Linked DNA regions of Oryzias latipes. The protein of the gene in region 1 interacts with the protein of each later gene in a pairwise test. Links are inferred from orthologs where the notes say so. Each region holds a gene or a part of one and is shown in the gene's direction. Other genes may lie near its edges.

Region 1 (4,667 bases):
AATGTATATGTACATATTTATGTTTTATACATGGAATCATCTTTTTCTTGTACAGATTTCTTCGGTACTTAAGGTTTATCATAGCTGTCTTTGTGGTAAAGAATTTTTTTTTCCCGTGGTGATAAACTGTATGTGAGCCATAAAGATGGTCAAAGGTGTTTATTTTTATTGCAGACACTTAGATATCTTATGTCTGAGGGTCTAAAGTGTTGTATGGAGCACACGGTGGCTGTCCCACCTGGGATTTGAACTCTCAGCTGACTGATCAGCAGGCAGCTGCTCAACCCGACGGGATCTTCAAATTCATTAACAGACATTTTAAAGTTTAATAATCCTAAAAATGATCAAATTTATGGAACGTTTTTATATCATAAAAACGTTTTAAAAGTATTCACTTTATTGAAACTTTGGAGGCTCGTCTGAACTTTTCCCCAGTTATGTGTTCTTGATCAACAGGTGATGAGGGAAGAGGGAATTCTGGGTAAAAAAAAAACATGAAATTGTGAATTGGTTCCCAGTGCTCTTTTAATTATGACTATGCAGTTTTTAGCCAAAATCAGAACATAGTTTCTGCGAAGTGGCAGAAGTTCATTAGAAATTCACCTCCGATTTGTGAGTGGGAGCAACCTCGCCCCCCTTCCTTCTCTGTTGATGAGAGGTCTCTGTTTACGCGCTTTCCTCCTTGCTAACAGGGCCTCACACCCCCAACTTAACATTAGCGGTGCGACAAAAATGGCGAGCAGTATTGGAGCTGTCCAGTCGTACAGTTCTGATCCAGATTCCAGCTCAGATGAGCTAAACACAGACGTACACGGATCTATTTGTCTGGAAGTGGATGCATCAGAATGGAGCTTGTGACCCGCCCAGCGGATTTTCTACGTCACAAATACAATCTTTTTCAAACAGCTTTTTTCGTCTGCTCCTGATTCAGTGATTTGGATAAAGAAACACTCAGAAATCCATTTTCAATGTCCTCCATTAGAAAAAAGCATCAACATCGTGTTAAAAACAGTTTCCATTGGAGTGGGTCTTTTCTGTGCCTATTTGTTAAAGTGGATTCAGTTGCAGTTATTTGAAATGCTCGTGTTGCTCGGTATTCAATGCTGTCAGCCCTGAAGGCGTCTATAAATCAGAATGATCATTTTCAAAGTACGAGCTTTGACTTGCCTATACAGATAAAAACGCGTCCTCGTTTAACCCTTTTTTCATGCCCTTGTGGTAGAAATGATTAGATGGGTGGAGTGAGCACTTAAACCGCCTTTTAGGTTTTGTTTAAGTCAGTTTTCACTCCCGTTCAATGATGAACTCGTCATGCCGAAGCCTCTGGGTCTAATCTTCATCCTCATGGAAGCAGACGACGATGCCCTGCATCTCAAAAAGTCTGGTTAAAATCATCAGGAAAAGAGAATTTTTTTCTCCAGTGGAGTTTTCCTTTCAACTCAAAGCTTAAACTTCCCTAAAGGAAAGTTTTGTTTTTTAAGGAGTCAAGTGTTTGATTCTTTCTCCTCCTCTACCTCCTGTAGGCCTTTGTGAAGGATGTTCACGAGGGATCAGTCACTGTGGCGTTTGAAAACAAGTGAGTCTCATCAGCTTTTGGAAAAGGACACGATAAGAAGCTTACGAGTCTTTAAAAACGCTCTCCTGCTTTTGTTCCAAGTTGGCAGCCAGAACGTCAGATCCCCTTCCAGGACGTCCGTTTTCCTCCTCCTGCAGGTTCTGGAAAGGAGATCAACGAAAGTGATGAGGTCGAGGTGAGATCCAGAAATCCATCAGAAGTCACCAAAAAAGTAAAGCAAACATTTGATTTTTTTATGATATTTTAAACACTAAAACAGAAATGGTGCAGTTGTTGTTTGAAAAAGCTGTAACACAACGTCAAGACGAGATAAAACAAGTTCAGTTTCAAATGAATTCAAGTTATTCTTACTTCAAATATCACTTTAGCTCAGTTTAAAAAAAAAAAAAAAGTTGTATATTTTGACCTCAGCTTCCATCAGTGAATTCCACAGCAGCTTTTTGGCTTTTGGTCACTTTTTGGGCGTCAGAAACAGACTTGAGAACAGAATCCAGAGCGGATTGTTATTTATGTTATGGTGCATCCCATAACATTTCTTTTCTATAAAATCTGGATTTCTATGGACTTAAAGTTAAAGTGTATTATGATTAGTCTGTTAAATGAATTATATAAAAGGAAACTGTAGTTGAGTTTATTTCCTTTTAGACTTTTGGATCAGTGTGTGGATGCCATTTTCTTTGCATGTGTCAGAGTGGCCCACTTTTGCATTCAACGGCATAGTGTGTGTATGTTTCAGGTTTACTCTCGAGCAAACGACAAAGAGCCGTGCGGATGGTGGCTGGCGAAGGTTCGCATGGTAAAGGGGGAGGTAAGCTCTCTTTAAATTGTCCTTCGGATCCTCATTGCAAAATTAGGCTATTTAAAAATTAGTCAACGATTCTTCAAATTTGAACATTTTTCTTTAAATTAGCAAATAAATCTGCCAAAGGGGTGAGAAAAATATAGAAAAAAAAATCTCATCATGTTTCCTCAAACTAAGATGATTTTGTCATTGAAAAACTTTCTTGATAAGAGTAGTTTACCAGAACAATACAACCATTTATTTAATAAAACAAGGGTCTTTATACTTTAAGATTCAGTTTTTGCAGTGCATTGTGGGAATCAAGTAAGTTAAAAATCCTCTTTGAACCCCAGAACATTGCTCCTATCTGTAAAATGTGTCTGATCTCTTCTTCTGTAGTTCTATGTGATAGAATACGCCGCCTGTGACGCCACCTTGAACGAGATCGTAACGCTGGAGAGGTTACGGCCGGTCAACCCCAACAAACCAGCCACCAAAAACACCTTCTTCAAGATCAGACTGGACGTTCCTGAAGATCTTCGTCAGATGTGAGCAGCTTCTCTTACAGTGGAAGATTAAAAATGGACCCGTTATGAGCCCTAAACTTGTGTTTGTCATCAGGTGCTCTAAGGAGTCGGCGCATAAAGACTTCAAGAAGGCCGTCGGAGCGTTCAGCGTCACATACGACTCAGAGAAAAAGCAGCTGGTCATTTTGGTTTGTCCCCGTTTGATTATTATTATTATTGTTATTATTTTGTTTTTATTAAATCAGGTTTTGTCACTGCATGTCCAATGACCCAAAATGTCCTTGTATCCCCCTAAATCTGTGGTGAAATTGCTCTCCAAATTGTCTTTTATTTAGTTCTTTCTTGTTTTCTTTCATGGTTTTTTATTTCGTCACAGAAGCACAAAAAAAAAACAAAAAACAAGCAGAATAACAAAAATTAAGTGCACGACCAGGAAATGTGGAGAATTTCCCCCCAAAAATACCATCAGCCAACTTTAAACATTATCATTTTACAGAATTTGTAAATGGTACAATAAAAAGTCTTGAATTTTGACATCGCAAGGTGCTCACACAACGACTGCGTTCGACTCGTGTCGAAGCGGCCACTTTCAATGAAAAGTCTTCGTAAAGACGTAGACCAGAATTTCGGGCTTACGCGTCTGGAACGTTGTGATCGCATGTTGCTACGCAGGTTTTCACGTCCGGTCCCGGACTCTACGTACAAATTTGGTGCCCGTTGATCGCGTGCTGACAGTTCAACCGGCTGAACTTTTTCCTGCTTAATCATAGCAACGATCGATTTGGTAATGACGTGTAGATCGTGTCCTTTTCAAAACATGGAAGTACAGACCGTTGTTGGCATGATCACGGAGGACAAATTTATGCGTTTTGTGATTTAAAATGACAGCAACACAAATATTTAGTAATTATAATTTTAACTTGAAACTTGTCGGAACGATGGAGAAACTACTTAAGTTTGGTTTCATTTTACTTGCTTTCAATGACATTAAAACCACTTTTCCCTTACCTGACACGAGCAATGTAAGGAGACAGAAAAAGACACTGAGAAAGAACAGGAAGTGGTTTAAAGGACACATGCTTCCATCCTTCCTGGTGCATTTTTTCTGAAACTTATTAAGGATATTTGAAGGTAACTGTTGGGATTTGAACTTGTGGTGATAACGGCAGTAAATCAGAGCTGTCAAAGAAGACTTTTAAAGCAATCCTGGGTTCTTGATTTCACACAATCTATTAACTTCTGGGTTAAATCTCAGCTAAAAGGAAAAACCAGGTTTGTTCACCAAATTACTCCTAGGTGGGAAGTAACAAAAGCATATCGGCTCCCATTTCATTAAACTGTAAAATGGTCCATTTTTTTTACAACAGTAATAAGCATTGACTTTGATATCCCACTTGTTACTATTATTCCAAAACCACAGATGTAAATCTCTGGTTTCAAATAAAGTGGATAAAACCGTTGGGTAATGTAACCACACACTATGTCTTCTAAAGTCATCGATTGTTCAGCTTTTTCTCTGGTGTACGTTCAGAGTCGACCGAGATCCAGTCAATCTGTTGTTAAGACCTCTTCTGGCGACACGAGTGCCTTGTTTGCCGTCAGGAACGCTGGTTGTGGACAATTCCAACACAGAAGTAATGAGATGGCCTGGCTGCAACATAAGAGGTTTTATAAATAAACCAACAGAACATGAAACAGAACCAGGACTGTGGCAGAACTAAACCATGAGGGGATAAGTGACAACAGAGGAACTGTCAGTCAACAACTTAATGCCTAAATAAAG
Region 2 (4,705 bases), on another chromosome or scaffold:
TGTTGTAGATGAATCAGACACAGAAAATTATGTATGTAAAGGTGGACAGTTGGACAAAAGCTGTACCTGCTAGAGCCTCAGTTGTGTCAGTGAACTTCTCAAAATGCTTCAGTTTGACTCTAAAAACAAAAAGAATTCAATTTATACTTTCAGTAATATAAAATAAACTTACAATGTGATAACCCCAAATGTATATACACTTACACTTTATTAGCTTTCTCAGGAGTTTCAAACTCCTTATAAAGACTGTCGACTTGCTGCAGCTTGGATTCATCGAGAACCTACAAAAATAAAAGAAATATGGAGGGATAAAATTAATTTAACAAGTTTCAATCGATACCAACCAAGTTGTGGTGAGTGCCCACGTGGTTACAGGCCTGCAGAATGCTAACCAACTTAAAAATCAAACTTGAACAAAAGCTCACTTCAGCACATTTGATTTCAATTGAATAAGCTTAACCTGTACGGCACTTTTGTTTCCAGCTCGAAAAAAATACAACAGGAACAGACTACGGTCATATTTTTTTATGCTAACCTAAGCTAACTCGTTAGCCAACAAGAACAAATAACATTTGAGTTTTTAATATTAAATAAAAGGAATAAAGGGGATGCGAATTACCTTGAAAATAGCATATCCTGCGGCGGTTTCAAATAAAACTAACATTTTGAAGCTTTACTATGTTTCTTTCCTTATGGCGTGCTCGCCCCAACGAGCGGACACGTTTTTTACTGAGCACGCGCTGCCGTCCGAAAACCCCACGCGGCACAGACAGGAAGCTGTGGGGTTGCCAGCTCTGGAAAGAAAAAAACTCAAATTCAAACATAATTCGTTTAGTTCAACCAGTACCTGGAATTTATCCAAATGTATATCGTGTAAAATTAAAAATACATATATAATATGCTATTCGATTTTTTGAGGTGTTGAAAACTATCTTAATTGCAAATAAACAGCTTAAGTTGTTTTATTTTAGGAAGCAAAAAATAAATGAATAAATAAATAAGAGACAGAGAAAAAAAACCGATGAAATACTTATAGAATTATTCCTTATATTGATGACATTTTTTACTTGTTATAGAAAAGCATACTGACAGAGTACATATCTTAGAATGTTTCCTTTAAACGTTTTCAATGAGCGTTCGTTCACCCCAAACATGGCAACAAGACGGTTCTTCAGAAAAACTTGCATAAATTCGGACACTGAATTTAAAAGACATAAAACACAGATCCGTACAATAAAAACACATCTGATAGAATTTAGGATACGTACAGGCATTAAATATGCATCATTAGGATACATTTAGCTTACAAATGAGTGTTTCCTGTTTTAGCGGAAGTGACGCAAAACACGCACATGTGGGGACTGCGTGGAAGTTGGGGCTTCAACAAACTTGTTTTTGAAAAGTAATTAGTTAAACAACATGAGTGAAGAGGGCCGTTATCCCCCTCCGGACTTCAGCTGCCCCCCAGCGAGCTCCAGCCAGCATCTTCAACAGCCTCCCCGCTTCAGCGGCTTCCAACCGGGCATGTGGAACTGGACCGAGTCGCCATGCGAGCCCAGCCGTGGCAGTCCGGCATGGCAGCACCAAGAGCCAGCACGGGGCTTTGGCTTTCAACCAGGCTGGGGAAACCATGGACATACGCATCCTTACAGTGAGTTGAACTCACAGAAATTGTTTTCAAGTTCAAAACAATTTAGGCATCAAACTTACCCGGTTCTGGGGTTGTTTTAGGTCCAAACGTTGGATACGAATGGTATCAAGGTGGAAGAAACAACAGTGGACCTCACTACCAGCCCTGGAAAAAGGTAATGGGAGAAAAAAGCTAACTACATAAATGTGGAGCTTGGTTAAAATCTATGAAAACTTGTGATGGGACTTGAATAGCCTGAGTTTGTGAGTCCATTTTGTTATGCCACTGACGTCACTTCATTTAACAGTTACAGACTTGGTAGTATTTCACACTCACATGTGAGAAAAACAATCACAAATGCCTCATAATTTGCTTCACACAACCTTTTGATTGACTCCCACAAGTCTGCCCCCTGCAGGTAAAAGTATTCTACGGAGCCCGTGTCCTGACATTTAAAAGTTAAACTATATCTCGTTCCCACAGATTAATATCTTGTTTGCACAAAATACTATTCTGTTCCCGCAAGATAATATTGTGTTCCCTCGAAATACTATTTCGTTCCCTCGAAATGATTAACTCGTGGGGACGAAATAATTAATTTGTGCGAACGAAATAATTATTCACGTCATAAGTCATTCATATACATGGATATGCTCTCCGTTCGGCCGCAAAAGCCACTTTCAGCAGTAACTTCCGTGTCTCTGTGACCCACATTTGTTCAAGGAAGGAAAAAGAAAAACAAGAATGATCAATATTTTTGTCTCAATGATTATAAGAAAATTATCATAAGATTTATGAAACCTAGACTTGCTGCTTTGCCATACAATTCACCTGACAGAGCTCCGCTGCTGAGCTCTTTTGCTTGTCATGCCGGCATTCAGGCAGCTGGCTGGCCGGTAGACAGACAGCCAGCTGACATTGTAGTTTAGGGTCGAATAGGAATAATAATATTCAGGACTTGTCTTTTATTAACATACTCTTTAGCAGTCACTTTACATTCAAAGGCTAGTAGGCTACATGGCCGATCATTTATCCTGTTATTTACGTCATAGATTTACAGCAAATACCTTCACATTTCTGTCTGTGTGTGTCTCATTACATTGCATTGAAGACACTGAGGATGTTTAGAGATCAGATTTATTTATTTTAAAAAGCACAAAAGCAGCTGTAATCACGTCATGTCTGGGTTCATTCACATCCTGGTTCGCTCTCCGTCCATCTTGCTGCAAAAGCCGCTTTCTGCCGCTACTTCCGTGTCTCTGTGAGCATTCAATAGGAATAAAAATAAAAGCAAGAATGATCGATCTATTATTGTCTCGATGAAAATCAGAAGAATATCATAAGATTAGGCTGGCTGCTTAGCCTACCGGACTTAGCTTTTAGCTCTTAGCATTACAAACATGGCGGTGAGCGACATCCCGACAGGCATCACGCATACCCAAGATGCATTTCGAACAGCCACTTCAGTTGTAACACTTCAGTTACAGGGACACGGTGATTGGTCAAGGTGCACCTTGCGATATTGCTCTCATCCGGATGTGATGCTAGAAGCTACGAGCTAAGTAGTATGGCTTTTGTGCTTTTTAAAATGAATACATCTGATCTCTAAACATCCTCCGTGTCTTCAATGCAATGTAATGAGACACACACAGACAGAAGAAATGTGAAGGTATCTGCTGTAAATCTATGACGTAAAAAACAGGATAAATGATCGGCCAGATAGTTACCATGTAGCCTAATAGCCTTCGAATGTAAAGCGACTGCTAAAGAGCATGTTAATAAAAGACAAGTGCAGAATATTATTATACCTATATTCTACCCTAGACTACAATATCAGCTAGCTGTCTGTCTACCGGCCAGCTAGCTGCCCGAATGCCGGCATGACAAGCAAAAGAGCTCCGCAGCGGAGCTATGTCCAGTGAATCGTATGGCAAAGCAGCAAGTCTAGGTATCATAAATCTTATGATAATTTTCTTATATTCAATGAGACAATAATAAATTGATCATTATTGTTTTTCTTTTTTCTTTTTTGAACAAATGTGAGTCACAGAGACACAGAAGTTACAGCAGAAAGCAGCTTTTGCGGCCGAACGGAGAGCATATCCGTGTTTATGAATGACTTATGACGTGAATAATTATCGCGTTCGCACAAATTAATTATTTCATTCCCACGAGTTAATCATTTCGAGGGAACGCAATATTATCGTGTTGGGAACGGAATAGTATTTAGTGCGAACAAGATATTTATTTGTGGGAACGAGATATATTTTAATTTTTTAATGTCAGGACACGGGCTCCGTAGAATACTTTTACACTCAGGGAAAGTTTGCGAAGTTTACCACGAAAATGTCAATTAATAATATAAGGAGCACCTAATTATCTTAAAAGGAAAAGTACCATACCGAAACCATTTTTAAATGTATGACAGCAAATGCATTACTCAGATAAGACTTTATTTATCCCACAGTGGGGAAATTCTTTTGTCTGGATGGTTCACTGGAATAACAAAGTGCAAAAATGTTTAATTGGACTAATCCAAGCATTTATGAAAAATACACTTCATGTCTAATTCCAATGGTCGGTGCTGCAGTGGCGTATCTCTGTGTAAAGGAGTTTGGGTGTCAAACTGAGCTTAAGAGGGCAAGAGGTGCATAGTAGCTTAGTGCACAAAACAGTTGCATCGTCGGATATAGTAAACAGCATAAAAATAAAAACATTTTGAACAGATGCAGCTCATAAACCATAGCAAATGTCCCAAAAGTTGTGATCATTCTAAAGTTCAAGGCCTTAAAAGGATGAGGTTTGATCGATGTCTCGATTTCAAAATTTTTAAAAGGAGTTAGGTTTCGAAAGCAGGGTAGTTGAATTCCATTGCCTTCATTTTAAAGTAACGAAATAGGAACGTATGCACCTCCCCCCACACACACACACCCTCGAGCAATATTGGAGCTATTCAGCCGTACAGTTTTGAGCCAGATGACAGCCTGAGCGAAAAAAAATGATGAAGACGTAGATGGAAGTAGTCGTCTACAAGTAGATGCATCAGAATGGAGCGGGGCAGGGTACTTAGGCCCA

Evidence for each region. The genes of interacting proteins can lie anywhere in the genome.
Region 2: the proteins of fmr1 (region 1) and nufip1 interact in a two-hybrid assay, tested with the Homo sapiens proteins (2 studies listed by BioGRID). The link is inferred for Oryzias latipes from reciprocal best matches to the Homo sapiens genes FMR1 and NUFIP1.

What each region holds. Positions count from the first base shown.
Region 1 is NC_019868.2:25,371,441-25,376,107, forward strand, and holds part of fmr1 (synaptic functional regulator FMR1), read left to right. Parts: intron 1-1,523; coding exon 1,524-1,576; intron 1,577-1,657; coding exon 1,658-1,787; intron 1,788-2,312; coding exon 2,313-2,384; intron 2,385-2,756; coding exon 2,757-2,905; intron 2,906-2,978; coding exon 2,979-3,072; intron 3,073-4,667.
Region 2 is NC_019860.2:15,376,228-15,380,932, forward strand, and holds the start of nufip1 (nuclear fragile X mental retardation-interacting protein 1), read left to right. Parts: upstream 1-1,322; 5' UTR 1,323-1,419; coding exon 1,420-1,651; intron 1,652-1,731; coding exon 1,732-1,805; intron 1,806-4,705. Other genes in the region: nop58 (nucleolar protein 58), read right to left, coding at 67-119, 205-281, 620-664. UniProt on the Homo sapiens protein: Binds RNA.